7 linked regions of the Xenopus tropicalis genome follow. The protein of the gene in region 6 interacts with the protein of the main gene of each other region in a biochemical or structural test. Links are inferred from orthologs where the notes say so. Each region holds a gene or a part of one and is shown on either strand. Other genes may lie near its edges.

What was found.
Region 1: the proteins of egfr (region 6) and lyn form a complex in vitro, tested with the Homo sapiens proteins (2 studies listed by BioGRID and IntAct, with this or other methods). The link is inferred for Xenopus tropicalis from reciprocal best matches to the Homo sapiens genes EGFR and LYN.
Region 2: the proteins of egfr (region 6) and sh2b3 form a complex in vitro, tested with the Homo sapiens proteins (2 studies listed by BioGRID and IntAct, with this or other methods). The link is inferred for Xenopus tropicalis from reciprocal best matches to the Homo sapiens genes EGFR and SH2B3.
Region 3: the proteins of egfr (region 6) and ptk6 form a complex in vitro, tested with the Homo sapiens proteins (2 studies listed by BioGRID and IntAct, with this or other methods). The link is inferred for Xenopus tropicalis from reciprocal best matches to the Homo sapiens genes EGFR and PTK6.
Region 4: the proteins of egfr (region 6) and smurf2 form a complex in vitro, tested with the Homo sapiens proteins (2 studies listed by BioGRID, with this or other methods). The link is inferred for Xenopus tropicalis from reciprocal best matches to the Homo sapiens genes EGFR and SMURF2.
Region 5: the proteins of egfr (region 6) and src form a complex in vitro, tested with the Homo sapiens proteins (6 studies listed by BioGRID, with this or other methods). The link is inferred for Xenopus tropicalis from reciprocal best matches to the Homo sapiens genes EGFR and SRC.
Region 7: the proteins of egfr (region 6) and lrrk1 form a complex in vitro, tested with the Homo sapiens proteins (2 studies listed by BioGRID and IntAct, with this or other methods). The link is inferred for Xenopus tropicalis from reciprocal best matches to the Homo sapiens genes EGFR and LRRK1.

What each region holds. Positions count from the first base shown.
Region 1 is NC_030682.2:115,678,762-115,682,795, forward strand, and holds part of lyn (tyrosine-protein kinase Lyn), read left to right. Parts: intron 1-409; exon of another isoform or gene 410-862; intron 863-2,176; exon of another isoform or gene 2,177-2,216; intron 2,217-2,543; coding exon 2,544-2,697; intron 2,698-4,034. UniProt on the Homo sapiens protein: Non-receptor tyrosine-protein kinase that transmits signals from cell surface receptors and plays an important role in the regulation of innate and adaptive immune responses, hematopoiesis, responses to growth factors and cytokines, integrin signaling, but also responses to DNA damage and genotoxic agents.
Region 2 is NC_030677.2:163,245,971-163,250,574, reverse strand, and holds the start of sh2b3 (SH2B adapter protein 3), read left to right. Parts: upstream 1-1,744; 5' UTR 1,745-2,192; intron 2,193-4,604. UniProt on the Homo sapiens protein: Links T-cell receptor activation signal to phospholipase C-gamma-1, GRB2 and phosphatidylinositol 3-kinase.
Region 3 is NC_030686.2:1,941,770-1,946,439, forward strand, and holds the start of ptk6 (protein-tyrosine kinase 6), read left to right. Parts: upstream 1-1,485; 5' UTR 1,486-3,088; coding exon 3,089-3,594; intron 3,595-4,670. UniProt on the Homo sapiens protein: Non-receptor tyrosine-protein kinase implicated in the regulation of a variety of signaling pathways that control the differentiation and maintenance of normal epithelia, as well as tumor growth.
Region 4 is NC_030686.2:51,425,657-51,430,153, reverse strand, and holds the start of smurf2 (E3 ubiquitin-protein ligase SMURF2), read right to left. Parts: upstream 3,134-4,497; 5' UTR 2,894-3,133; coding exon 2,842-2,893; intron 1-2,841. UniProt on the Homo sapiens protein: E3 ubiquitin-protein ligase which accepts ubiquitin from an E2 ubiquitin-conjugating enzyme in the form of a thioester and then directly transfers the ubiquitin to targeted substrates.
Region 5 is NC_030686.2:39,466,332-39,470,365, reverse strand, and holds part of src (proto-oncogene tyrosine-protein kinase Src), read left to right. Parts: intron 1-1,586; coding exon 1,587-1,824; intron 1,825-2,754; coding exon 2,755-2,854; intron 2,855-4,034. UniProt on the Homo sapiens protein: Non-receptor protein tyrosine kinase which is activated following engagement of many different classes of cellular receptors including immune response receptors, integrins and other adhesion receptors, receptor protein tyrosine kinases, G protein-coupled receptors as well as cytokine receptors.
Region 6 is NC_030682.2:56,743,458-56,748,250, reverse strand, and holds the start of egfr (epidermal growth factor receptor), read right to left. Parts: upstream 3,076-4,793; 5' UTR 3,055-3,075; coding exon 2,970-3,054; intron 1-2,969. UniProt on the Homo sapiens protein: Receptor tyrosine kinase binding ligands of the EGF family and activating several signaling cascades to convert extracellular cues into appropriate cellular responses.
Region 7 is NC_030679.2:115,749,553-115,753,586, forward strand, and holds part of lrrk1 (leucine-rich repeat serine/threonine-protein kinase 1), read left to right. Parts: intron 1-958; coding exon 959-1,156; intron 1,157-2,266; coding exon 2,267-2,547; intron 2,548-3,415; coding exon 3,416-3,610; intron 3,611-3,829; coding exon 3,830-3,981; intron 3,982-4,034.

The sequences.
Region 1 (4,034 bases), about 59 Mb from region 6:
AGAGTATGGTACACACAGGCAGCATAGGGCAAGCAGAATATGACACAGGCATGCTTGAGAAGGAGACAGGGAGACCTATCAAGACTATGCACTTTACAGGTGTGAACAATACAGTGGGTGTGAACAGTGAAGGAATTTACAGCCTTAATCTAAGGTGTGAACAATGCAGGAAGGCAGTTAATACTGATACCATTTAAACATACACAAAGGTAAGCAGTCACAGCAGCCAGACAGATGGGGGGGGGGGCACAAAAGGGGGGGCTACAATAGTCCATTACTGACCAAACTGCATGATGGTCTGTGCACATGTAGCCTCCTCTTAAAGCAATGAATTTGGCCCAGGAACCTTTAGGTTTACTATATACTGTATTTGTTATATGTACATGAAGAAGGACCAGAACTTCAAACATATTATTCATCAGGATTTATTGCATAATATAGTTTTAATGTTTTACTGTAATTATTAAATGAGTTCCATATCCACATATGAAAATGGCTACTCCTAGCAGCTAAATGGACAGACCAGGTTATCTACAAACTTTCAGCCAGATTTGACAGTACAGGCAGCCACCAGATCAAATGGCAGAGGCCCAGTAAGCATTTGGCATCAGTGGGTTTTCCCTCATGAATTTTCCAGCATGTTCGGTAGGACCTCCTTGGTTCTGCATATGTATACATGGGCAGCTGTTGGCCACTATAGTCAAAGGATGACTAAAGACAAAAGATGGCTAACAATATCTGCCGTGTGTAGAGCTTCAGAGTTCAGAGTTATTCTTTGTGGGCTGAACATGATGGACGCCTTTCAGGTTAAGCAGAATAAGATACTTTGTGCATCTGAGAAAGAAGCAGTGAAGGGGTATATCTGAAAATAAGCAGATGACAAGTTAGGGAGAGGAAGCATATGTTAGACTGAATAATACTAGAAAATATATAGTAGGTCAGAGTTTTAATTGGTTAACTAAGCTTTTGGGGCTACTTAGGCCCCTGCTTCAGGTACGGTAGTCACACCTGCCATTGTTTTCCAAGTTGATTATCAGTGCCTTGAGTTTTGTTATATCTGCTCCTGGGTGCCCCACACACACCATCAGCTCAGAGTGAATAACCTATTACATCAATCTATAAATAAATAAATCCTTATACGGGTATGGGACCTATTATCCAGAATGCTTGGGACCTGAGGTTTTCCGGATAAGGGATCTTTCCGTAATTTAGATCTCCATACCTTAAGTCAGATAAAAATTATTTAAATATTGAATAAACACATTAGGATTGTTTTGCCTCCAATAAGAATTAATTATATCTTAGCTGGAATCAAGTACAAGGTACAGGTATTGGATCCCTTATCTGGAAACCCATTATGCAGAAAGTTCTGAATTACGGGCAGTTCATCTTCGATAGACTCCATTACAAGCAAATAATCCTATTTTTTCTTTTTAAAATTTCCTTTTTGTCTGTAATAATAAAACAGAACCTTTTATTTGATCCCAACTAAAATATAATTCATCCTTATTGGAGGAAAAAACCTATTGGGTTTAATTAATGTTAAAATGATTTTTTGGTAGACGTTAGGCATTGTGATCCAAATTATGGGAAGACCGCATATCTGGAAAACCCCAGGTCCTGAGCATTCTGGATAACAGGTCCCATACCTGTATTTATTGCTGTTCAAGGGCTATGGCTCATGGGGCGTTTCACCAAGCAAAAAACATAGGTAGCACTCCCACTGTCTTATGGGGGTACCCCTGTCTCCATATATGTATGTATTATTTAGTAGAAGAGTAAATTATCTTGGACTTAAATGGTTTTTTGCTGTTAATTCACTGGGAATGTAGATAATCAGTGAGCAACAGGATTTTGGTTTTACTGGGGAGCTTGTTTGTATAATGGGTTTAACTGAAATATACATTTTAGCTATGGTTTCCTCTTCACTGCACACATTCTGGTGTCATATTCAACCTGTTTTTCCAGCTATCTGTACAACAGTGGTATTAGCCACGGCTCAGATTTCCTCGTTTTACATTGTATTGAAACCTTTAAAGAGATTTGCACATTGTCATGGCAGCCAGATTAACACCTTCTTACAAATATTGTACATTTAGTTTTACGAATCATGCACAAGAACTTTTCATTTCAGTTTAGCAGATGCTAAAGTATTAAGTGCTATTCTGATACCTACCGGGAGCTGCTATCTTGCTCCCTTCCCATTGTTCTGCTGATCGGCTGCTGGGAGGGGGGTGATATCGCTCCATCTTGCAACTCAGCAGTAAAGTGTGAATGAAGTTTATCAGAGCACAGGTCACATGGCTGTGGCACCCTGGGAAATGAAGAATATGGCTAGCACCATGTGACATTTCAAAATTAAACATAGCAAAAACAGTTTGCACTTTAAATTCAGGATTCTGCTAGAGAAGCTCTATTAACTGATGTGTTTTGAAAAAAAACATGTTTTCCCATGACAGTGTTCCTTTAAATTCCAAAAGATTAATGGCTTCTATGACTGGCTCCTATAGGTACTCTTAACCACCTAATAATCTCTCCCACAGATTGCTGAAGGCATGGCTTATATAGAAAAAAAGAACTACATCCACCGAGATCTGAGAGCCGCTAATGTGCTTGTTTCAGAATCCTTAATGTGCAAAATTGCTGACTTTGGTCTTGCCCGAGTAATTGAAGATAATGAGTACACTGCAAGGGAAGGTATGTGCTCTGCTTTTAATGTGCTGTAAAACAGACAAATGGTAAGATCTGTTCCAGCAATCGAGGGCTCTGTTTTATTACCCTAACAAATTGCTTCCATTATTTACAATAAGATAGTGCCAGGTTGCTAACAGATACTAAGGATGCCTATAATATTAAACTGTGACTCCCTAAAAAAGTGATTGCCTGGCTCACAATATTTATAACTGTTGTAAATAGGAAGCATAGTGATCTGCAAAATCATGTGATACTCAGCTGTGTGGCAATAAAAGGGGTAAAGAGTCTCAGTTCATGGCATTAAATGTGTGTGGTAAAATACCCTTGTGCACATACGGTGGTGCTTGAATGTTTGTGAACCCTTTCATATTTTATATTATGTGACCTAAAACATCATTTTATTTTCAAACAAATCCTAAAACTAAATAAAGAAAACCTAGTGAAACAAATTAAACAAAAATTATTATGCCTTTTCTTTCATTTGATCAACTAGGTTTATTTCATCTCATATTATGACTTTGAAAATCGGATGATGTTTTAGGTCACATTCATATAAAAATATAGAACATTTGAAAGGGTTCACAAACTTTCGATAAGTGCATTATATATATATATATATTGGAGGGTAGGCACTCACGTATAAGTAGAATACTTCGCCTGGGTGCAGTGTGGAAATATGTATAATCACCATCTGAAAAATCTCACACTCCTCAAGACTTAATAATATCCACAGCAAATTTTATTGAGGGAAACTGACGTTTCGGTCCCACTAGCGGTCCTCACTAACGAGTGAAAGTATATATCATATATATGAACAGAGAGGAGCACACACTTCACAAAACCTGGGTGCAGGTAAAACATAAAATATAAAGAAAGGTACTGCACACACAGGGACTTTTTATGTGGTGGGGGGGTATTTAATGTGGCTGTTGGGACATAGTCTGTTGGTTTGTCCCTGAGGAAGAGCACAGACCATGCTTGAAATGTTGGATTTTTTTCAATGAACACTTTTTTTCTTTGCATTAAGTCCCTGTGTGTGCAGTACCCTTTCTTGATATATATATAATGCAGATGCAGACTGACATCTCATGGCAGCACAGAAACCAGGGGATTCTGCTAAGACATACAGTATATAACCTGCTAATGCTTTAAAGATTTCCAACAACACAAAAGTTGAGATTCTCAGCAGCAGCCCAGATCTTACTGAGTGCTTTAGTTCACTTATAAGTAAATAGTTTCCATGCAAACTTTATTCATATCAGTGCTCAGGCTCTGTTTGTCAGTCCGTGCCTTTATTAGGGGTGGGGAGGCTAATGGAGTTGCTCTTGTGTGACAGCTAT
Region 2 (4,604 bases), on a different chromosome or scaffold from region 6:
TTGGCTGGAGAAGCGCTGACTTCTGTCACACTATGTTGCAAAGTAACATAGAAGTTGAATATACACTTTAAATGACTGACACTTTTAAATGACTGATGTATCTTCCTTGAATGTCCCATCAAGAAGTAGAAGGGCATCTACTATACCTGAAATCTAAACTTTTTGTGGGAACGGGGATTGGTAAAATCCAAAATTAGCTAAGTACAATATATATATGGAGCATGAGGAGACAGATAAAGGGGTTATTCACCTTTGAGTTATAGGTAGAGTAATATTCCAAGACAATTTGCAATTGGTCTTCATTTTTTATTACTTGTAGTTTTTTAATTATTTTAATAATTGTACAGCAGCTCTCCATTTTGGAGTTATAACAGCTATCTGGTTGCTAGGATCCAAATTACTTTAGCAACCAGGGAGTGGCTTCAATGAAAGACTAATATATGAATAGGAGAGGATCTGAATAGAAATAAAAGTTATAAAAAGTAACAATAACAATAAATCTGTAGCCTCACAGAGCAATAGTTTTTGGCATTTGAAAGCTGCAAAGAGTTTGAAGAACTGAAGAACCTCAAACTGAACCTAACGAAAACTGAACTAATGATCTTTCCACCTAAGCCTGGTCCTACCCGCCCCCCTTTACTATCTCTATTGATGGCACCCTCATCAACCCTGTCTTTTCACCTCCTTGTTTGGGGTCTTTGACTCCTGTCTCTCCTTTTCTGACCATATTAACACCACTGACAAAATCTGTCACTTTTTCTTACGCAATATTGCCAAAATCCATCCCTTTCTACTGCAATGGCTAGGCTGCTCATGCATGGTCTCATCCTATCCTGACTTGACTACTGTAACCTGTTACTAACTGGCCTCCCTAACTCCCATCTCATCGCATTGGAATGCCCTCCCTGATTTCCTCCGGAGAGAATGCTCCCCCAGTCTTTTTAAAACTAAACTTAAAGACTGCCTTTTGGAGCACTTACCCAGCACCTGACCAGGGAACTAGCACTTATATTGTAGTGTCACCCACTGTGACCTACAGCACTTATATTTGCCTATTTGTATCTGTAAGGTACCCTCCCATCTAGATTGTAAGCTCTATGGTGCAGGGACCTCTATCCTCTTGTGTCTTTGACTCTTAACTTATTACAACTGTATCTTGTATTTATTGTTATACTTTGTATCGATTTATTATCTTAATAACCCCCTGTTGGTATTAATGTATGCTACTGTACAGCGCTGCCTACATAAGTAGCGCTTTATAAATACAGATATACATACATACACATAATTAAAAACTATTACTAAGGCAGAGTGCCGGGGCAGAGGCTGAATGCAGGGGCGGTGGGACGTTAATGTCAGGAATCCCAGGCGCAGCAGCAGGGCTAGTGTGAGTAGGAGGAGGAGGAGGAGTTTGGCTGCACCGTCGCTCCGCCCCCTGTGGTCAGAGAGGGGCTTGAGAGTCACTTTCGGTTTAGCAGGAATGATGCGCGCCTGTGCTGCTCGCCCTGAGGGAAGAGGAGAGCGCTGCATTTAATTGAGGCTTCATTGGGCAGCCCTGCTCTGTACTGTGCCCTGTCCGTCGCCACCTGCTGCTCCAGCTGAGCCCAAACTCAAGCCCAAACACGTGGAGCAGGAGCTGACACAAGTGGCGATCGCAAGCGCTTTGCCTGCTGTCACCGCTGCATCAGGGATTGCACAGCGCTCAGGGCTGGGGGACTGTTAGCGGCGAGTAGAAGCGGAGATCTGCAGGATCAGCCGGGGAATCCGGCGCTACATGGCGGCCCATGTGTCAGGCAGTGCTGTCCCCCAGTGAGCCCGCTCCGGCTGCCTTCTCGGCGCTACATGCAGAGGCCAGTGCAGGACAAGTAGTGGCTCGTTCCTCCTTCCTTTACATAACAGATCTCGGCATGGGAAACGTGTGCTGTGGGTATACCCGCGGGGATCTGCCGCAAAGAACATCCTGAGCACCCCTCCCCCACCGGGATCTCCCTGGCTGGAGTCACCGTCTCCGGGCTGGGATCTAGCCACAACACATGTAAAGTAACTGCCTTCTCTGTGTGTCTCCTGGCGGAAATGATGAATGGTTAAAGCGTTCTTTATTTTAAGGGTTGGTTTCCTCCCTTGAAGGACTCATGCAGAGTTATGGCTTGAAGCACCATGGGGCTTCGGAAGGAACACAGCCTTTCCAGCAGGTAAATACTGGCCAGTGTGTCTGATCAATATTCCACTTTAAAGGACCGGTCACATTAGCAGGTCATTTCTTGGTTAGCAGCCTGACACCGGCATGCAGTCATAAGCAATTCTGTCAAATGGCCTTATATACCCATCCCAGGACATTCCTGTGGCACAGTGCTAAGTCTCTGAGGTGCTACTATGCTACCAGCTCACGTTTCACAGCAGTTCCTCTCTGCACCTAACCACATGCCAGGGTGATCTCATAACATTCTACAGTTTAATAACTAGGTGGCAGCAGGCTTTAGTCATGCCACAGAACATTTTGTACTTAAGTCCTGGAAAGCTGCACTTTAGAATATGTTTATAGGGCACACAGCAGTGTTGCCGGCATGAAATGGGTCTTGCCAAGGACAGTGGTATAAGTATATCATGTTCAGCTCACATTTGTATGAGATGTCATTTATATGTGCAGCCTGATTTGGCCACAGAACTTTCCACCAATGCCAGGTACCAGGATTTATAAACCTATTTATTTCTATGGAACAAATTGGCATAGATACTGCTGTGTACATACACAGAGTTGGCTAAAAGTAGAATTAGGGGGAAAAATGGCAATGTGTTTTCTAACTTCACATTACTGTAATCGTTTGTTAATTAGCACCAGCATCTCTGACATCACCCTTTCTTGCCCCCCCCCCATCAACCAAATACTGCAAAGGAAAGCTGTAACGTATTTCCAACTCAACTGCCTTTGTTCACCCAGTCCAGTTATTACTGGGCCTGCAATGCAAAAAGAATTGTGAGTGCTGAGGCCGTTGGGTATTGTACATGACTGCTTCTAAAGGGGAAGGGAAAAAAGTTTCCAGATTTTTTTACGTGTGACAATATTGTGTGTATGTATGTAATGCCCAGGTATAACAAACCCCTTAATGAATATTCATGTGAGTAGTAATGTTTATTAACTGGTGGGGTGATGCAACTGTAAATTGGTAAAAATATTGCGCAATAGTTGTGAACTCACTCTTACATTATAAAAAAAAAATGTGCCTCCAACTAAAATTTGAAGTTGTACAAGATAAGCATTTCCTTCTGCTTTTGAACCATGACTGTGTTTTTGGGCACCCCTGTAAGGTTTCCTAGAACCCTTCTCCCCCCCAAACTGCATTCGCCTGTCAGTGGAAGCTATGATTTGCTCATCAGTAAAATCTCAAGAGTCACTGGATGGGTTACACTTATACACAGTTCTTTTGTCAGTATTATGCACTTCTGTCAGAACATTTCCTTTCTATACCTGCTATATCCTGTGGAGATCTGTTTAAATCTTCTGTAAAGTCTCAGTGACCAGGTATAGTGTAGTATGGAAATGTCTGTGTTTTCCCATGAACATCTTTAAAAAACAAACAAACTGTTAAGTACTCAAGTAATGCAGGTATGTGCTTATAGGGTATATATATATATATATATATATATATATATATAGCGTTGGGGTATTTAGAATCTGCAGTTTGATATATAAAGATTTAGAAACCATAACGGGTATTGACCCAGAGGTAGAATGCAGTCATGAGTTAGTTGCTATCTCCAATTCTGGGTACAGTAATAACCTTGATTCACTTGTTCAAAGTATAGACTCCCCTCTAGGAACAACCCACAGTTTTTAGGTAACTACAGATGTCTGTGGGTATAAGCCATAATAGTGTATGAGAGAGGTAAGCTAAACCAATTTAAAAAAAAAAACATCTTATGATATGGCAATAGAATTTAAGACTTTAAGAGGATAATACAATAGAAATGTCTAATAGTGGATATTATTATGATCCAAAAAACCTTTTAATTGTTTCCTTAGCTTTTCGTTCCAAACTCTGTCTTCTCTGTTGTATCCAGCTTTTAGGGATTTGGGCCAAATGGGTGCACAATGTTTTAATGGACATATATATCCAAATATTGTTTCTCTGTTTGTTTCAGCCCAAGTCTTCAGTGTTTGGATCTGACATGAAATCCTTATTTTCCATTGCACCATGAATCCTCTGATAATGTGCAACAGCAGGTTTATTTTTTAGGCCAATGACACACGTGGAGGTTAGTTGCTCAGTAATTAATCTTCTGTATCAGTGGCGACTAATCTCCCCAAAAGCTTTCCTGTTGAAAGTTTCCTTGCAAGGCGACTTTGGGAAGCCGAAGCAACACATATGTTTTCCTACCGGCTATACAGGGATAGCTGTTGAGTGGCACATACAATGGCTGTGTTTAAAGTGAACATTGCTTTCTTTAAGCCAGTGATCCCCAACCAGTGGTTCGTGAGCAACATGTTGAATTTCTGGTTAGGAGGCAAGTTTTGGTTGCATAAAAATCCAGTGTAAAGCCAAACAGAGCCTTCTGTAGGCTGCCAGTCCACATAGGGGCTACCAAATAGCCAATCGTAGCTTTTA
Region 3 (4,670 bases), on a different chromosome or scaffold from region 6:
ATAGACCAGTAGGTGCCGCGTTGGGCTGTGTAACCAAGTTTTAAAATGGCAAAAAGAGTGCAAATATACCAAGTATCTGCCCAACATAGAGCTGCTTTGGGCCCCCAAAGGGCGGTACCATCGCTGCCAATAGCCCAGAGGGCAGAACTAGCGCACTTGGTAGGACTTTATGGCATAGGGCAGAAGGCATAATGGTATTTCTTTTCAGGGAAATTTTATGACAAGTGATTGAAAGGAGCCAAGAAGCACAGCCTGTCCTGGTGCTTAGTGCCGGGCTGCCCTTTCCAGAGGTGGCAGCAGTGGGGCAGTCTGGGCTAGGGGTATCATCCAAGAACTGAGCCACTGGCTGCCATGCAGGAGAAAGTAGCCAGTACAAAGGCCACTACAAGGGCCAGTACAAGGACCAGTACAAGTGCCACTACAAGGGCCAGTACAAGGACCAGTACAAGGGCCAGTCAAAGGGCCAGTACAAGGACCAGTACAAGGGCCAGACAAAGGGCCAGCACAAGGGCCAATATATGGACAGTACAAGGACCAATACATGGACAGTACAAGGGCCAGTACAAGGGCCAGTACAAGGGCCAATACATGGACAGTACAAGGGCCAGTCAGTACAAGGGCCAGTACAAGGGCCAGTCAGTACAAGGGCCAGTACAAGGGCCAGTACAAGCCAGCCAGACAACTGGAAGGATTTACCTAGACCAGGCAGGTTATCTGCATTAAAGCTGGAACTGCAGTATCTGGACATCTATGGGGTAAAAAGGCACTAATTTGCCCAGGTGCAGTAACCCATAGCAACCAATCAGCAGGAAGCATTTACTGGTCACCTGTTTAAAAGCAAAACTCTTATTAATTGCTATTGGTTACTGCTCCTGGGCAAACTTAGTGACTTTTATTACATATGGGGATAGGGAGCCACTGACCCGGCCCGAGAATGGTTCCAACCTGGGGGATCCACAGTTAAACTAGAGGAACATATGGCCATGTTCTATGAATACATAACAGAATAAATGCAAGGACGTAGTCTCAGAACACGACTGGGTTCTAGGTCCATTGCTTGTACCAATTATAAACCTTAAAAATAGTTTAAAATTTTTATTTATTTCAATCTATTAAAAACATTAACAGCCGGGGCTATCCACATGGGGCTGTTAATAAAGTTTTTACTATTTTTGAGTAGTGCAGACGTTTATAATTGGTACATGTATTACCCATTCTGGTCACTAGGGGGCGATACCTACTCTATATAAAGTGTTTACTAAAAATGAAAATTCCTTTGTTCCTGTTCCTTTTTTTCTAGTTACATTGCTGTCTGTCTGTCACACAAAAATAATAAGTGGGAGGAGTTATATACACCAATTGGAGATCAGATAACTATTGGGAGAGATAAGGGCAATAATGTTCCAGGCAGAATTAGAGAGTCAGCAGCTGAACTCTGAGATTGTAATTGGACTTCTGTATTGCCAGTGTCATTGGCATTGCAATGTTACATGTAACATGGAGCAGTGTCGGAATGGGGTGTCGGGGACCCACCAGGGGGGAATATGATACAGCAGACCCCATAGTCTAGGCTCCCCACAACCATAGTTTTTGCTGTATTGTAATTACCCCACTGAATAAAGGACAGAGATCAGAAGTGTAACTAGCAAATGGGCAAGGGGGTTGGCTTGGATCTGGGCCATGATAAAGAATACATTGGGCTGTCTAACATGGAGCTTGTCTAACATGGAGCTTGTCTAACATGGAGCTTGTCTAACATGGAGCTTGTCTAACATGGAGCTTGTCTAACATGGAGTTTGTCTAACATGGAGCTTGTCTAACATGGAGCTTGTCTAACATGGAGCTTGTTTATCATGGAACTTGTGTAACATGGAGCTTGTCTAACATGGAGCTTGTCTAACATGGAGTTTGTCTAACATGGAGCTTGTCTAACATGGAGCTTGCCTAACATGGAGCTTGTTTAACATGGATCTTGTCTAACATGGAGCTTGTCTAACATGGAGCTTGTGTAACATGGAGCTTGTTTAACATAGAGGTTGTCTAACATAGAGTTTGTCTAACATTGAGCTTGCCTAACATGGAGCTTGTCTAACATGGAGCTTGCCTAACATGGAGCTTGTCTTACATGGAGCTTGTCTAACATTGAGCTTGTTTATCATGGAGCTTGTTTATCATGGAGCTTGTTTATCATGGAGCTTGTCTAACATGGAGCTTGTCTAACATGGAGCTTGTCTAACATGGAGCTTGTTTATCATGGAACTTGTGTAACATGGAGCTTGTCTAACATGGAGCTTGTTTAACATAGAGGTTGTCTAACATAGAGTTTGTCTAACATTGAGCTTGCCTAACATGGAGCTTGTTTAACATAGAGGTTGTCTAACATAGAGTTTGTCTAACATGGAGCTTGTCTAACATGGAGCTTGTCTAACATGGAGCTTGTTTATCATGGAGCTTGTCTAACATGGAGCTTGTCTAACATGGAGCTTGTTTAACATAGAGGTTGTCTAACATAGAGTTTGTCTAACATTGAGCTTGCCTAACATGGAGCTTGCCTAACATGGAGCTTGTTTAACATGGATCTTGTCTAACATGGAGCTTGTCTTACATGGAGCTTGTCTAACATGGAGCTTGTTTATCATGGAGCTTGTTTATCATGTAGCTTGTCTAACATGGAGCTTGTCTAACATGGAGCTTGTTTATCATGGAGCTTGTCTAACATGGAGCTTGTTTATCATGGAGCTTGTTTATCATGGAGCTTGTCTAACATGGAGCTTGTTTATCATGGAGCTTGTCTAACATGGAGCTTGTCTAACATGGAGCTTGTCTAACATGGAGCTTGTTTATCATGGAGCTTGTCTAACATGGAGCTTGCACCAGAGTAATTGTCCTAGATGGTATGGCAATGATACTGATTATTAGAGCCATGGGGAGTTGCAGTTTGACACTGCCATAAGGCCGAGCCCATCCCTGCATTACATAGAGCTTGAGAGATATTTCTGGCATTTCCTTGTTTAGTTCTAAGTAGCAGCCAAGTGTCCCACACCTTGTCCTTGTCACAGGCTCCCCGCCCCTAATCTCGCCCTCAGGTATGTGGCAGAGCAGCGCGGGACGAGCACGGGATGAGGAAGTAAGGTGTTTCCAGCAGGTTGGACTCTCACGTTCATTGGGAGGGAAGGCCCCACAGTCCCTCCATTGCTCTGCTTCCCTCACTTCCACTTTCTTCTCCTCCAACGCCCTGAGAGTGGGGGCCAATGTCCTGACTCAGAGTCATTTCAGGTCACCTTGTCCTCTTCTCCAGGGCAGGCAGAGGTGGGACGAGAAGCCCGAGACCCTTGCTTTGATATTCCCTGGGAACTGGTTGGATGGCAACGCCAAGATGAGCCATCGGCCAAAGCGTTTCGTCAGTCTCTGGGACTTCAAGGCTGAAGCGCCGGAGGAATTAAGCTTCAAAGTTGGAGACGTCTTCGAAGTTCTGGACAGAAGTGGAGACTGGTGGCACGTGCAGAAGCTGAAGGGGGACGGGAAGGGAAAGCCCGAGGTGGGATACGTCCCATACAATTTCCTGGCAGAGGAAGGAACAGTGGAAGAGCAGGAGTAAGTAAGGCAATAATGGGGGGCAATAATGGGGGCAATAATGGGGGCAAATCATGTTATAGGGATAATATTGCTAAAATGCAAGTTAATGACACAGAGAGGTTCAACATTTAGCTAAGAAATGACTCACATCATGAGGTGCCCGGGGCTCTGGGGTAACTGCACTTTCCTGGGCCCCCCGAAATGTAATGTGGGGTAACTGCACTTTCCTGGGTCCCCCGAAATGCAAAGTGGGGTAACTGCACTTTCCTTGGCCCCCGAAATGTAACGTGGGGTAACTGCACTTTCCTGGGCCCCCCCCGAAATGTAACGTGGGGTAACTGCACTTTCCTGGGCCCCCTGAAATGCAAAGTGGGGTAACTGAGCTTTCCTGGGCCCCCCGAAATGCAAAGTGGGGTAACTGCACTTTCCTGGGCCCCCCCCGAAATGTAACGTGGGGTAACTGCACTTTCCTGGGCCCCCTGAAATGCAAAGTGGGGTAACTGCGCTTTCCTGGGCCCCCGAAATGCAAAGTGGGGTAACTGCACTTTCCTGGGCCCCCCCCGAAATGTAACATGGGGTAACTGCACTTTCCTGGGCCCCCTGAAATGCAAAGTGGGGTAACTGCATTTTCCTGGGCCCCCTGAAATACAAAGTGGGGTAACTGTGCTCTACTGGACCCCCCGAAATGCAAAGTGGGGTAACTGCACTTTCCTGGGTCCCCTGAAATGCAAAGTGGGGTAACTGCACTTTCCTGGGCCCCCTGAAATGCAAAGTGGGGTAACTGTGCTTTCCTGGGCCCCCGAAATGCAAAGTGGGGTAACTGCGCTTTCCTGGGCCCCCTGAAATGCAAAGTGGGGTAACTGCAATTTCCTGGGCCCCCTGAAATGCAAAGTGGGGTAACTGTGCTTTCCTGGGCCCCCTGAAATGCAAAGTGGGGTAACTGCACTTTCCTGGGCCCCCGAAATGTAACGTGGGGTAACTGCACTTTCCTGGGTCCCCTGAAATGCAAAGTGGGGTAACTGCACTTTCCTGGGCCCCCCGAAATACAAAGTGGGGTAACTGCACTTTCCTGGGCCCCCTGAAATGAAAAGTGG
Region 4 (4,497 bases), on a different chromosome or scaffold from region 6:
ATCCCGGTACCTGGCCTTACACAGTACCATAATGGGTCAGAACAACATGCACACCCCGGTACCTGGCCTTACACAGTACCATAATGGGTCAGAACAACATGCACACCCCGGTACCTGGCCTTACACAGTACCATAATGGGTCAGAACAACATGCACATCCCGGTACCTGGCCTTACACAGTACCATAATGGGTCAGAACAACATGCACATCCCGGTACCTGGCCTTACACAGTACCATAATGGGTCAGAACAACATGCACATCCCGGTACCTGGCCATGGAATCTGCAGCTGGGACCGGCCCAGAGGAACACGCTGACAAAGCAGGTCATCACTGCATTTATAGCATTGACATTCCCAGCCATAATGACTTTATAACGCCGGTCTGTCAGGGGGGAAACCTGGGGCTACGCCGGTCTGTCAGGGGGGAAACCTGGGGCTACGCCGGTCTGTCAGGGGGGAAACCTGGGGCTACGCCGGTCTGTCAGGGGGGAAACCTGGGGCTACGCCGGTCTGTCAGGGGGGAAACCTGGGGGCTACGCCGGTCTGTCAGGGGGGAAACCTGGGGCTACGCCGGTCTGTCAGGGGGGAAACCTGGGGCTACGCCGGTCTGTCAGGGGGGAAACCTGGGGCTACGCCGGTCTGTCAGGGGCGAAACCTGGGGCTACGCCGGTCTGTCAGGGGGGAAACCTGGGGCTACGCCGGTCTGTCAGGGGGGAAACCTGGGGCTACGCCGGTCTGTCAGGGGCGAAACCTGGGGCTACGCCGGTCTGTCAGGGGGGAAACCTGGGGCTACGCCGGTCTGTCAGGGGGGAAACCTGGGGCTACGCCGGTCTGTCAGGGGGGAAACCTGGGGCTACGCCGGTCTGTCAGGGGGGAAACCTGGGGCTACGCCGGTCTGTCAGGGGCGAAACCTGGGGCTACGCCGGTCTGTCAGGGGCGAAACCTGGGGCTACGCCGGTCTGTCAGGGGGGAAACCTGGGGCTACGCCGGTCTGTCAGGGGCGAAACCTGGGGCTACGCCGGTCTGTCAGGGGCGAAACCTGGGGCTACGCCGGTCTGTCAGGGGCGAAACCTGGGGCTACGCCGGTCTGTCAGGGGGGAAACCTGGGGCTACGCCGGTCTGTCAGGGGGACATGGGCCTATGGGCACAACTCTATGGCTTCTGTATGTTTGCCTATAGGCACAACTCTATGGCATCTGTATGTCTGCCTATGGGCACAACTCTATGGCTTCTGTATGTCTGCCTATGGGCACAACTCTATGGTATCTGTATGTCTGCCTATGGGCACAACTCTATGGTATCTGTATGTCTGCCTATAGGCACAACTCTATGGCATCTGTATGTCTGCCTATGGGCACAACTCTATGGTATCTGTATGTCTGCCTATAGGCACAACTCTATGGCTTCTGTATGTCTGCCTATAGGCACAATTCTATGGCTTCTGTATGTCTGCCTATGGGCACAACTCTATGGTATCTGTATGTCTGCCTATGGGCACAACTCTATGGTTTCTGTATAAATGCTCAGAAGGAAACTGCCAGTGTGAATGACTCCATAAGAAACCATGATTCATATTCCATGTACTCTCTCACACTCAGCTGCACTTGTACTGACAATGCAGGGCACCTAGGCCAGAGGCCCACATATTGTGAAACTACATCTCCCAGCATTCAGTGTGAGCAAAAGGCAACCCGAACAACAGGGTTCACAATTAAAGGACAATGCCAGACAAGGCCAATACTCACTACCATGGATGCCACTGTAAATCTCTGCATGCCAAGCCATTGTGGGCATTTCCTATGGTTAGAGTGGGTACCCATGATTGCTTTTAATACCAGCCCCCCTGTAGTCAGTGAGGAAAGGGGGGCCCATATGGTAAGGACTTAGTAATACTGCTTTTTGAATGCCTAGGCAACCAGCTGTTAAAGAACTACAAATCCCAGCATCCTCTTCAAAGATGAGTTAAAGGGCAAATAAGGTCCAGCCAGAGTTCCAGTAGCCAAGGGTGGCAGTGCCCAGGGCAGATCCATTACATACCCCAATGACCACTCCAGATTTCACGCAAAATACAGTAAAATGCCATTAAAGGACTAAAACTTATTTCACAATCGAGATGCAACTCAGACACATTGGGGCTGAGGAGCCATGTTGGTACCTTGAGCAGGGGCAGAATCCAAAGAGCAGCAATCCTAGTTGCCCCAAATGCACATTAGCCCAGAAAGGGGATTGCGAAGCCTTGAAGGAAGATGGTTGCAGCCCCCAGGCCTGGCCGATAGGGGAGGGGTTGGGCATTTGGGGTTTATTTTAGGGTTCCTGGCGCCCCCACAAGCCTACACAAGTGACTTCTTCCCTCTAATAAGTACCCCCTATACAGGGGCAAGTGGCGCAGGAATCAGGCACATACATGAGCTAACTGCCCCATACAGGGGTACAAGCGCCAGACTCATATAAACTCTATTAATTAGGTCTCGTTATTGCCCTGTAATTAGGGGGCGCACTCACAGCCTGGGCAGGACCCCAATAAGCACAGGGTGTGACCCCAGAAGCACCCAGGGCCCCAAACCAACTAGTTACCCCCACCTAGGGCAAGTAATCCTGCCTCAAAGGGCAATTGCTCAGCTCCAGGCCAAGCCAGAGGGGCCCCTGGGCTCAATGGAACATGCAGGTTAGGCCTGAGGGGTAACTAACGGCAGGAAGTAGCTGGGGTGAATATTACCCTACTTGCCCCCGGAACTCATGACAAACGCACGGAATGCTGGGAAGCACCGGGCCCAACTTGTTGTTGTGATCCCTCCCACCCTGAGCCTTCTGCCCCACGCAGGGGTATCGGGCCTACTCACCGGTCAGTCGCAGCTTCACCGGCCCGTTCCGCCGGGATCCCTGGTTAGACATGGCCCCGGGGAGTCCCACAGCAAGGCTAGGCCCGGGCCGCGGCCTGGAGTACGGAGGGAGGGCGGGAGAGTCAGGCGGACTGTGGGGGCCCCGAGTTACCGACTAGCGCCATCAGCCTGGGGCAGAGCGGAGACAGCACTGAGCCACACGGGCCGGGGGAGCCACTCACAGCCCGGGGAGGAGGCACCGGGGAACAGGGGCGGGGCACAGGCGGGAATGGGGCGGAGACACGGACACTTGTGGGAGGAGACTGCAAGTAGCGGGAGGCAGGAATGTGGGCGGGGCCGGACACTGTGAGCGACGCACAGTCTGAGACTCACCATTACCCAGAGTTCCTCACTGAGAGACACTCACTGAGAGACACTCACACCATTACCCAGAGTCACTCACTGAGAGACACTCACTGAGAGACACTCACTGAGAGACACTCACACCATTACCCAGAGTTCCTCACTGAGAGACACTCACACCATTACCCAGAGTCACTCACTGAGAGACACTCACACCATTACCCAGAGTTCCTCACTGAGAGACACTCACTGAGAGACACTCACTGAGAGACAGTCACACCATTACCCAGAGTCACTCACTGAGAGACACTCACACCATTACCCAGAGTTCCTCACTGAGAGACACTCACACCATTACCCAGAGTTCCTCACTGAGAGACACTCACACCATTACCCAGAGTTCCTCACTGAGAGACACTCACACCATTACCCAGAGTTCCTCACTGAGAGACACTCACTGAGAGACAGTCACAACCATTACCCAGAGTTCCTCACTGAGAGACACTCACCCCATTACCCAGAGTTCCTCACTGAGAGACACTCACTGAGAGACACTCACACCATTACCCAGAGACACTCACTGAGAGACAGTCACACCATTACCCAGAGTTCCTCACTGAGAGACACTCACACCATTACCCAGAGTTCCTCACTGAGAGACACTCACTGGGAGACAGTCACACCATTACCCAGAGTTCCTCACTGAGAGACACTCACCCCATTACCCAGAGTTCCTCACTGAGAGACACTCACCCCATTACCCAGAGTCACTCACTGAGAGACACTCACTGAGAGACACTCACACCATTACCCAGAGTCACTCACTGAGAGACACTCACTGAGAGACACTCACACCATTACCCAGAGTCACTCACTGAGAGACACTCACTGAGAGACAGTCACACCATTACCCAGAGTTCCTCACTGAGAGACACTCACACCATTACCCAGAGTCACTCACTGAGAGACAGTCACACCATTACCCAGAGTCACTCACTGAGAGACAGTCACACCATTACCCAGAGTCACTCACTGAGAGACAGTCACACCATTACCCAGAGTCCCTCACTGAGAGACACTCACTGAGAGACAGTCACACCATTACCCAGAGTCCCTCACTGAGAGACACTCACTGAGAGACAGTCACACCATTACCCAGAGTCACTCACTGAGAGACACTCACTGAGAGACACTCACTGAGAGACACTCACACCATTACCCAGAGACACTCACTGAGAGACACTCACTGAGAGACACTCACACCATTACCCAGAGTCACTCACTGAGAGACACTCACTGAGAGACACTCACACC
Region 5 (4,034 bases), on a different chromosome or scaffold from region 6:
AGGACCAAAAATGGGCCCCCATGCTGTTTGGGGTAAGTAGATCAGGACCAAAAATGGACGCCCTATGCCACATGTGTCACAAGGCCCGCAGGCAAAATACAGCCCTTCTGGCTGTTTTATGTGGCCCCTGGTGACCGTACAGTATCTTAATTAAAAATTTGACCGGCGACTCGGCCTGTGTTTTATATTTCGCCCCCCTTATGTGATTGAGTTTGACACCCCAGCCCTATGCTGTTTAGGGTGGGTAGGTCAAGACTAAAAAAGGGGTCCCCATGCTGTTTAGGGTGGGCTTTTGGTTCTGATCCACCTGCCATGTGGACCAAATGTCGGTCCTGATCCATAGGTTAAGAGTAAACTGGCTTTCCCGGCTGATTTTACATGAGAGAAAGGTGAGGAAACCCTGTCATACCTAGTCATGTTCTGCCATAACCCCTTTCCCAGTGTCTGTCCCACCTCCTCAGGTGGCTCAGTGCTTCCATGTCTGTGTAACATTCTCCGTCTGTCCCGCTGGTCAGCCAGCCCCTTAATTGCCTCTTTCCCCCATTCACTTCTGCATTTTTGTGGCATTTGTGGGCATCAATGAGACATTGTGCTTGGTGAGAGAAAGAAGGGGAAGTGCTGAGGGCATGGGATAGCTTGAGTCTGAGTAATAGGTGCTGTGAGGGGATTAAAGGGGCCAGGGCCATTGGTCCCGCCCCTTTAAATAAAGGACAATGTAGAATTAGCTGGTGCATAAAGTCAGACACAGCGTCTTTGTCCTTGTAGAATGTACATTGGTTTCTTCAGTTGTTCCTAAACTACAACTCCCAGAATGCCCAGGAGAGAGCCAAATTACCCATGATTATCATATCACCAGACTTTTCACCTGCTGCCTTCCTATCCTGACACCCTCCTGTCTTCCCTGAGATCCCTTCATTTATTTCCCCTCTCCCCCTCTCTTGCTTTCATAGCACATTCCAAGACATTCAATTAACTCTCCCTGGACTCCTCCTCCCTATTTCTCCTTGAGGGGGAGCACATTTTTCATTCTTCAGCAGGCAGTTTGTGACCTCATTGTGGCCCTGGGAGCCCTTGTATCCACTTTCACCCCCCTCATATCCCATAAAATAGATAGGATTGTGGGACACGGCTTTAACCCTGCAACCTCTGAATTGGCTCCTGTCTCATGTATTTTTCACTGTACCCTGTCAGCCTGGGTTTTCCAAACTGCACACGTAATGTTCAGCTGCCGTTAAACTACAAATTCCAGCATCCCCTCTGGCGATGCAGGGATCTGTAGTTCAGCAACAGGTCAGGCATCTAAGCTGTAAATAGGGAAATAAAACATTATTTACAGTTTTGCAGCTCCTGCTTCCTGTTTCCATGGATTTATAGGCAGTATGGTGGATATATTGGAGGCACTGTGGTGGATATAATCCTGAGAGCTTTGAGCCGATCACACAGTGAATGTACTGTGTAATCCTAATTTCTGACCTGTGCCATGATCACACACACAGACTCAATTGGCTTTTTTACCTCTGTAGATATACAGTACCTGTAGACATTTTGGGGATTTAATACATAAGGGTTTTTGTTTTGTTACGCAGATGGGTGCCACTAAAAGCAAGCCGCGAGAAGGTGGCCCCCGGAGCCGCAGCCTGGACATTGCTGAGGGGTCCCACCAGCCTTTTACCTCCCTTTCTGCCTCTCAGACCCCCAGCAAGAGCCTGGATTCCCACCGGCAACCTGCACAGCCATTTGGGGGCAACTGTGACCTGACGCCTTTTGGAGGGGTGAATTTCTCTGATACCATCACTTCCCCCCAGCGGATAGGACCGCTAGCAGGTAACTGTGGGCATGGTCTTATCCTAATTGGAACATTAATGGAGATCAGCTTTATATAACTGTCAGTGGCATTCTCAAACTGCACTTCCCATTCTGCTACTTTCTGGAAATCATGGAGGTTGTGGTTCCAGAATATTGGAAATATTTTCAATTGCTGACACTTGTAGACAGACCTATGCCTGCCATTAATGCCTAATTATGTGACTTTATGCTGTAAACGGGCCGTTTACACCAGGAAATGAAAGTACCCTAAAAGCATTTACATATGGATGCTAATGTGCTATTTTTTAAACATATGGCACCATTTTTAGAAAGCATTATCTTTTTTTTATTTGATTTTGGCTGCAGTTAAGATGGCCATACACTGCCAGATCTGCTTGTTTGGTGAGGTTGCCAAATGAGTGGATCTGGGCCACCCATGGGCAGCCACCAATTTGTCACAGGTTTTTAAACCAGCCTGATTGATATCTGGCTGAATTAAGTTGCATGTGAATGGCCACCTTTATTCCGTGGGGTGGTCTAGGGGGCAGTATAGCTCATAAATGTGTATTATCTACAGTTCCACTGAGCACAATAGATGGGATTGGGCTTTGATTTTGGTGTTATTGGCCCTTCCAATAGGTCACTTCCCTTTGCTGCAAATGGAAACTAACTTGCAGTGAATCTCGCTTTAATACAAGCAAGGGAAAAGGAAAATGGGGACATGGTTAAAGGGAAGATATACAGCAAAAATCATGGTAAAAAGCCCTTTGAGTACATTATATGATTATTATATTATTATTATGAGATTCAAACCCAGGGTGATCACCAATAGTGCAAGGGTGTATGCTTTTTGGAGTGCTAATATTTATTTAATATATTCTGCTATTAACTGATGGGGGACTAAAGTTCTTGTTTTCTTTTCTATAATTCCCACTTTCCCATCTGCAGGGGGCGTCACCACCTTTGTCGCTTTGTACGACTATGAATCTCGCACCGAGACAGACTTGTCCTTTAAGAAGGGGGAGAGACTACAGATCGTCAATAACACGTGAGTTGCAGCAGCAGAGTTTATTGGGCTGGTTCCTCTATAGATACACCTGGCGCTTGGGCCCCCGCTTTTGAATAAAGTGAAGTCGTTGATTCACGGTTTTGGTTCTCACAAATCTCACAAGTCATATCTATTTAAAGATCATATGAGAGAAAGTACTGGAAGCTATTTATACATCTACATTTACATGTTTCCTATATGGGCAGGTTGGAAGATTTATGGTTTGTCGGCAAGTTGTGTGTGGGGAGGAGGGGGGGGCAAGTTTCCATTGCATTAGTCACTTCCTTGTTAGGGTAAAACACTCCGCAAGTAATGGAGCCAACTTCCAGCACCAACCTGTTGTATAGTTGCACCTGCTGTGTGTTTATGTTTGTAATATAGGCTGGCTTTCTGTATGCAGATGCTCCACGTTGAGTCTGGAGACTCCTGCACAGGCTGGTAGTATTGGGGCAATGTCTGACAGGGCATAAATACCGCAAAATTATTCTTTAATGGCTTTCTGTCTCAGTCACCACTGGTTAAATCAGAGTATCAACGAAAATGTGCAAGGGAGTCAGTTGTTCTACTAAAGCATTTATAGCCAGGGATGTAGTCTGGAGTCTTGGGCAGAGTTACTGATGTCAAAAGCGGGAAGGGTGCTGGGCCCGCAAGAGTACACTCGACAACCACTGGTACATCTGGGAATCATGGCGGTTTTGATCTGTAATAATCAGGCATACAATTAATAACAAAGAGGCAGAAAAATTCATATACAAGTATAGAGTCTATTATCCAGAATGCTCAAGACCTGGAGTTTTCTGGCCAGGCCCCCTAGGCATTTGCACGCTGACAACCCAGCAGCAGGGCAATTACCTCAGGGTGGTAGGGGGACAAGGGCCCAGATTAGGTACTAGCACCGCCTTCACTGGTCCTTAAGCCTACCCGTAGTTCTGGCCCTGATAAGCAATCTTTCCATAATTTGGATCACCAAGCCTTAAGTCGGCTAAAGATCCCTAAAAAATTACATACACCCAATAGGATTGTTATGCCCCCAATATGGATCCGTGCAGATTGGTCCCTATCAAGCAAAAGCTATTATTACAGAGAAAAAATGTGAGTTATTTGTTTATAATAGACTCTATCTGGAGCTTTCTGTATATTGGGGGTTCCCCTTTTGTTAATATCTGACCCCTTTAGCTTG
Region 6 (4,793 bases):
GAGAACATATGGTATTGTGTGCACTAAACAGTCAGATCTGCATATTTCTATTTAGTAAATGCAAACTAGTTTACATTTTCTTTTTCAGTGCAGTGGAAGGGCTTATATTTTTCTCTGCCCTCTTTAGATGTAATCTTTACAGAGTGTAGCATTACGGCTGCTTGTGGGGGCCTGTCTCTGCATGCTGCATTGTTCCTACTGTTTACCTCTTTTTGTTAATTAACTAGATGGAACAATTAACATTTACAGGATGCCCTCAGAGTTTCTGTAATACACAGCAACTTGATTCAAACATGGAAACTGAACTCCAGCCTTGTACATTTACTATGGTTTCAGTAAAGAGGTCAGCTTGCTTGATGACTGTTGCCTTCCCCTGCTAGACAAGGTAGGTTTTCAGATTAGACAGAATTCCATAGAGATCAGGAAGTGTTGGTCCAATTGTTTTTCCCTGCTGTAAAACTCGTAAGTGATATTACACAATCAAAAGTTTAATTACATTAGAACCATTAGAAGAAATGAACAACCATGATACTAAATCATCACCTATGCTCTGTCCAGGCATGAAGATTTAAAAGTGTATGATCAAGTTATTGCAGGGAGCTTGGTTTTAGTTTTATCTTATAAAATGATTAAATGTGGCACAGTTCTTCGGGCTCACAAATACCCACAGTCATACAGTGTTCAAAGGCATAGCAATTCTTCCATGAAGTTCTGAAAGTTCTACCCAACTCTCTATGCGTAGTAGAGAACTCTCCTATTGTGCCAGCCAGCACTTCTGTATATCAGCCATCCTGATGTTATCTAACATATGAAGATTGATATGCAGTTTTGGGCTGCCAATATTGCACTGTAATTAAACAGATGGACTGACGTAATGTTTTTTTTTGTTAGGCAGTAGAAGGAAGCTGTTTAATCCATCTTTGGCCAAACACATAAAGCAAAAACAGGGAGTCAGGTGCACAGATACCAGGCAGAGGTCTTACTGAAGGAATGTCATAAATATATCATACACACAAGTACAAAAAATCCTTTGGCTCCAGGTAAATATCAGTGTGATATCAGCAGCAATGACATTTGTACCAATTTATATAAGACAAAATATTATGTAAAGCGGCTGAAATAAGTATAAAATATGCAAAACACAAACATTAAATAAAGGTTTCATTGAGATTTGACATGTATTTATTTATTTATACATTCCATAGTGGAATGTTTGTGGCACCAACAGAATTTGCAACCACTGTGGCAGAAGGAAATAAAAATTATGGTGGGGGGACAAGTTTAGTCTAAAGCTGGCCATACACTCACTGATAATATCGTACGAAACCCCGTTTACATTGTCACATTTATTCAGTCGAACTGCACACCTGGAACAGACTGAATTCTATTGCCCCAAGTCAAGACTTCAGCATGCCCACATGACAGAACTGTTAAAGTATTGTTATTTTTACAGTACAAAGTGCAATGTACTAGAACAAATACAAATCTGTGCTTGTATAGCAAGCTCCTGATAAATTCTTTTCTAAAAAGGGTGGGGAGCCAGCATCTTAGCCTTAGTAGTTATTTAGCGGATCCTATTAACTACACACATGACAGTATATGTTAACCATCTGTGGTCTGAAAGAGCGTGGTAAAACAAATTGCTCAGAAGTCAGAGAAGAATTTCACCCACCTACTTATTTATAAAAAAAAAATGGGTTTTGTTCTTAATGTTATATAAGCTACAACACATAACTGAAAACAGAGGCAAGATCAATTTCATTAAAAAAAACAAAAAAAAAATCATTGTTGGACAGTAGCATAGGCTCCCATGAAATGTCACAGATATTTTATATTAAGTCCAGATGCTGGCGTTTTATAACTATACATACATTCACTCACCAGTAAGCCTGCCTCTCTATATATACTGTAGATATATACATATTTAAACACTTGTTTATCTGCTGCATCAATCAATCCATCAAATGCAAATAAAACTGTTGTAAGTTATGTAAATAACTGTTTGTAGTTTTTTTAAGTTCCTTGCTCTTGCCTTATGCCCTGTGTGTGGGTTTTGAAGCTGAAGATGAGTTCCAATGAGGGCAAAGTAACTTAAGTCAGAAAAATTATTCACTATGCAAGCTTTTTATCCTTTGAACATATTTAATATAGGGTTTGCAAACCAGCTAAACTATTTAGCAACCCATATAACAGTACAAAAATACTGTGCAGTTTATTGTTTGCATTAGTGCACAGTATAGGTTATAAAGCTTCTTAATTAAACAAAAAAAAATTTGCACAAAAAATATGCCACCTTGCAGCAGGTCTTACAAATGTGTTATGTGTAATTAAAAGTCACAATGCAATATTTGTCTAATGCATAATATTGCAATAATAGTCAAATAATGCATTGCTGAGCACACATTTTTGTTCTTATTTATGCAATTATACCATAGGATGATTTTTATTACATCCACCCACTAAGTATCTCTTTTATAGAGGTGTTTCTGTAACCATTCTACAAGGACATAGTCACAAGTTTATACACAGGGTGACTACAAATGTACACAGCTCACACTCCAGGACAGTCTCTGCCATCACAAAAGCATGTCTTTTCAAAACACAAGACCAATTTCTCAGGATAATTTTGTAATATTGCTGTCACAGCCCACTGAAGGAAAGGGATTTACTTTCTTGTGTATTTCCTGTATCCTTATAGTTCCCATAGGAGGCACAGGGAGTCCCCTTGTCCCATATTCAGACCAGAGGAGGATTACCTGTATCCAGCCAGGTAGGCTCACCCTATACTCCTGGCTACACTCTGTAGGTCACAGGAAATCAATAAGTGGATGTAGAGAGAGGCAATTCACTAGCCAAACCAACACTGCCACTATCAGAAACGCAGAAAGTCTGATAACCCTTTGTGTGCCAGGGCTGGCTTCCCTACAGGCACAGAAGCAATGAAGTGGCAAGTGAATTTCTTTCCTTACCTTTCTTTTCTTCCAGAGAAAAGCAGGACTGACTGACGAAGAAGACGCAGATATATAATCCCACACTCCGGCTAAAAGACCCCATCCCGAGTCTTCAGCTACCCCCAAGAACAGAAATGAGGATGGATCCTTCCTGCAGTCCTGTGCTTTATCTGCTGCCTCTGACACCGGTCTTGTTTCAGTGACCCAAATCCACAGAACGCCTCACATCCATTGTGAACACGATATATACCCACGGGGGAGCGGAGGGAATAGAAGGAAGCTGAGAGCGTTGGACTCCGAGCTTATTGTGGGGCTCTCTCACATGAGACAGTCCAGTGTCTTCTCTTATCTGGTGTATGGAGAAACAGCAGGGAGTAAACGAAGTGCCAGTGACAGGAACTGCTTATCCCTATTTCCACACTCACTTCCCAGGAGTTGCAAAACTTTTGACAGAACGAGCCGGTCTGTGTGAGTCCCTCACGAAAAGAATCTGGCATGTTTGGCTGCTGTGACATCACGGAGAGGTGTGCCTCATTCCACTCCCCCTCCCACAGCCTTCCTCACACTCCAGGACGAGCCGAGCTACGGGCATTATTATCGCTCACTCCTGGCAGAGCTTCATAGGAGCAAGGGAAGCAGCGCCACCTATTGGTCACAACAAACACAATAGGAGACAATTCGCGCAATAATGCAGTTCACTAGCAAATCAGCAGAATCGTTTATATTTATGAGCAAAATATAATTTTGTAAATGCTGGAGTGCTTCAAAAAGTAAAATGGAAGCTGAAAACTACTGCTTGACAAATACATTTTGTCAACAAATACGTTTTAACAAAGCTAAAGTTTGTCTTTCTGCGATGGGCTGTAAAGCACCACGTCTTCCGCTGTCACATGAAACGCCAGATTAGAGTGTTCCAGGGAATCAAAAATGACACCTGTGACTGTTTGGATCAATGCGGTGCATATTAGGTGTCTAGATAAGAAGTTACCATTTAACTTCAAAATTATGGAACGTGTCAATAAAATCCAGGGCTGCAGTGATTGCAATTAAATGTAACATGTATAGGTGTCCCTGAAATTTCATGTGATCTGGTAACCCTGTGTTAAACAACTGAGCCCCCAGCCCTCCTCCAGCCACCCAGTAAAAGCTGGTAAGAGGCAGATGCCTTTTATGAAGGGCATAGAAAAAATCAAAGGGTCCTTCACTGAGCAGCCAGGATGGACCAAGGGATAATGTGGAGTTGAACCTCAGCTGACAGAAGGGCTGCTGTGAGATGCTATAGAGCAGGGATCCCCCGACCTTTTTAAAAAAGTGTTGGGGAGCAACACAAGCATGAAAAATATTCCTGGGGCTGCCAAATAAGAGCTACTTAAAGGAGAAGGAAAGGTTAAGTCACTTGGGGGTGCCAAAATGTTAGGCACCCCCAAGTGACTTAAATTGCATACTTTTTACCCCGGGCTGGTGCCCCTGTTCAGAGAGAACAGCACCAGCCCGGGGTAGCTGCAAGCGCTTCCTCTTCCGTATTCGCTGCACGCGCATGCGCAGTACAGTGAAAAAGCCGAACTTAAACATAGAAGTCGGCTTTTCACTCTACTGCGCATGCGCCGGCCCACGGATTTCGCCGGCAGCGCGAAAATGGAAGGAGGAAGGCTCGCTGCAGGTACCCCGGGCTGGTGCTGTTTTCTCCTAACAGGGGCACCAGCCTGGGGTACAAGGTAAGCGATCTAAGTCACTTGGGGGTGCCTAACATTTGGCACCCCCAAGTGACTTAGCCTTTCCTTCTCCTTTAATAGCCCCAATGTGGACTGGCAGCCAACAGAAGTCTCTGTTTGGCATTAGACC
Region 7 (4,034 bases), on a different chromosome or scaffold from region 6:
GGCCAGCCTGGGTTGCTCACCTGAGGAGGTTGACTTCTAAAGGGGTGATTTTGCCAGACCAAGGTTCTTTCCCATAGCTGGGTGATACCTTTTTTACATACATATGGATCCATATTCCTAAATATCTAAATTCAGAAACGCAGTTGTATGGGCTTGTTTGGTGGGATTAAGGACTTATAGTTAACTTTTAAGTCCACAATATTTACCAAATTTTGTTAATAGCCAGATCAGAGCTTGGAGAGAGTTTTTAGATTCTGCCAAATATAAAAGCATGTCATTAGCATACAATGACACTTTCTCTACCAAGTTTCCTAATCGAAACCCCGCAATTTCTCTGTTCAGACTTATCTGAGTTGCCAAGGGTTCAATGGCTAGGACCTTAGTTTGGTGTCATGCATAGAGGACCTTGACCCAACCCATGAATCTGGGCCCAAAGCCATAAGTGGTAAAAACTTCCCACAAGTAGGGCTGGTATACAGTGTCAAAACCTTTCTCAAACCTTAATTTTAATACATGCTGCATGAACACTTACACATTCAGTGGCTCAATGCTATGTTGTGGATCTATCAGTGAGTCATGGTAGTTGTAATTAATCTAGAATGCTAAGTGCTTTCACTTATATTCCATAATAAAGACATTCTCTTAATATTGGTATTTATACAGAAATGACAGCTGCCATATTTACTGCTACCACTGAGGCACGCTGGATATCACTGAATATTGTTAAACTGCTTTTACATTAACTCTTTAATTATGCTTTGGGTTCAGGCACTAATGGCTTCCAGACTTTATAACCCAAATGTTTAAATGTTGGCAGATGGGCTGTTATGTCACTGGATACAATAAAGAGATAAGTCATATAAACTAGGCTTGAACTCTGTGAGTTCCAGATGGTGAGAATATGCAAAACCTTTGATCACTGAGCCTTAATGGAAACATTTCTTCTTACCTATTCCAGACACCATGTTCAAGCACTTGCAGGCAATGGACGCCATGAGAAACTTCTCGGAATTCCGTCAGGAGGCCAGCATGCTCCATACTCTGCAGCACCCCTGCATTGTCTCCCTGATTGGCATCAGCATCCATCCACTGTGCTTTGCCCTGGAGCTGGCACCTTTGGGGAGCCTCAACACAGTGCTGGCAGGAACAGCCCAAGGTGACTACCACTACATCCGGGATCAGTTCACTGCACAGACCACAAAATTGTTACTAACCATGTTTATGTGCTTTGAGTCCCTTGTGCAATTCCACCCACACTTCCATACACACATGATTGGAGGCTAAAAGCTTCATAGCTTGAAGATTTGTAGGAATTTTCTTTGCATGATTTTTTTGTTTGTTTGGTCTTGCAAATAATGATCTCGTTGCCATGTATATACAGCAGACATTTATATCCTTCTGGCCTCTTTTTTCAAATAAGGGTCAGTGTTATGATTATGCATGTTGGAAAAAATGGCACCATACTAATCCCCACAAATCATATGGTGTCATTTGAAAGAAGAAAACAGGAAACTGAAAGTGGGCCAAAATAAGTAAACCAACATTTTTATAATAAATATATCAAGTCCTGCCGAGTCCATATAAAACATTTTAAAGTTTAATGTTGTGTTGCTGTGCTAACATCCAAATACATCCATGAGAACCTGAACATATAGCTAGCATGCCATTACTTGAGAGAAGCACTTTAAAAGGGCCCAACAAAAAAGTATGGAAATCGAAACAATGAAAGGCAGGCACTCCTGAACCCAAATAAACCATATTGCAATTCTTCCTTCATAAAGTAATTGATAAGGGGCACTGAGAACATGGTTAATATGAGATCTTGTTTGATGCAAGAAGAGGCGGATCATTCCAGACTGATTTCAGTTTTATGGTGGTAAGGTGATAGTGGATTATGATGTAGATAAAGCATTTGTTCATCGGATTAAGGGTAAAAATGCAAGTTGCTGGTCTGTGTGTGGATCTTCCAGTAGGGTGCAGATCTTACCAGTTGGACCCACACAGGTCCACACAGGTCTCTGTCGACACCTACCTGGGTAACTGGGTTTAGAGTGAATGGAGGGAAGGGCCATCATTTTGAAGGAAATATGATGTTTTTTGTCTTGGACATATTCAACTATTTATTAGCATTAGCATCACCATTCGTAGTGAACCCAAGCAAGAAGTGTAGCTCACAATAGACTAATCTGGAGAGTTATTGAAGGGGCGACTGACCAAAATCATTGGATGATATAATGGGAACTAATTATTTGTCTTTATCTTATAGATGCAAGTTCATTCATGCCTCTTGGTCACATGCTCACTCAGCGTATTTCCTATCAAATTGCATCTGGGCTGTCCTACCTGCATAAAAAGAATATAATATTTTGTGACCTGAAATCAGATAACATCCTGGTTTGGTCCCTGGATGTCAAGGAAGCTGTGATAATCAAACTCTCAGACTATGGCATTTCGCGGCTGTCATTCCATGAGGGAGCCCTGGGTGTGGAAGGCACCCCAGGATATCAAGCACCCGAAATCCGTCCTCGGATTGTGTATGATGAAAAGGTAACTGTCAACTGGGTCAGCTGTGAGATTGATATTTGTTTTCTGATCAAATAAATAACTTTTTTTTTATGTAAGGCAGTTATAATAACATGTACTGTACATGGCTCTGTTCTGTTACACTTCTTTAATATTGCACTTAGTCTTGCACATCTAGCCTCCTGTATATTTTCAAGCTGCCCTATTAGCATTATTAGATATTATTAGATATTAAACCAGTGGATGCCAGATGTTTTTGGTTGAAGAGCCCCACAGAGGTTCAACCTCTTATCAGGGACCACCTTAGTTCATGACAGGGTTACAGTTTGGACTTTTTAACTATTCAGCCATAGTTTTAGCCCTAATTTAGCTTCAAGCTGGGCTTTCAGGTATATCTAAAAAAGCAAAAAGGAATTCTTTACAAATATCACTGTAGCTAGCTTAAAGGGCTGAGAGCCCTTCCTCCTCTCCTATATTAATGCAAGCCTTTTTATCCTACCATGAAACATTGGCTCAGTCTGGCTTATTTCAGTCTCTGCCGTAGGCAGGGCCGGATTTGTAATCCTGCCGCCCCTGTCCGTCGCCCTCCACGCATGTGCACGATCAGCACACCCCCCCCATGCGCATGCGTGAACGTGCAATCGGCACCGCCCCCTCCCCAACGTGCATGCAGGGTGTAAACATTTGCAAATGGAGCAGTGGGGGAGAGGTCCCCACTGCTCCATATGGATGAAAAAGCTTAAGATTGTGGTGCGGCGGGGCGGCATGCCGCCCCCAAATTTGTGCCGCCCTAGGCCCGGGCCTTTGTGGCCTCTCCACAATGTTTCTTGCTTCTGCTGCTTATTATGCCTATACCATGTTGAGTGCTTCCATTTTTTTTCTTTTCTGGTAGGTGGATATGTTTTCATATGGTATGGTCCTGTATGAGCTATTGTCAGGCCAGAGACCATCTTTGGGCCAGCACCAGCTGCAGATTTCCAAGAAACTGTCCAAGGGGATTCGTCCAGTTCTTGGACGCCCAGAGGAAGTTCACTTCCATCATCTGCAGGACCTGATGATGGAATGTTGGGACACGAAGCCTGAAAAGGTACAATTCCACAAGCCAGCAATATTTGCCTTAGTATTTACTGAGTGCATGTTTCACTTGTAGTATTTGTTTTCTGAATACAGCCTCACTGACACATTAAGTCATTATCAGTTGTAACCTCTGGTCTGTTCTTATAACTGAAAGTATTCCATTCATGTAAATCAAGAGCAACAACTCAGGCTGCTTTGTGAACTCTGTTTCATTCTCTATTCAAAATAGCGGCCTTTAGCTTCATCAGTTGTCCATCGTATGAATGACCCCAGCTTCACAGTTTTTAAGTACCAGTTGTCTTGTGGGATACAGGAATCATTCTGCTCATCCAGAGAACCAGAGAGCACAGTTGTATTCTGGGTAGGAACAGGGACATCAAGGTATGTACACCAGTGCTTGTTTGCTAGTCTAAAATTCTCAGTGTGATTGAAGG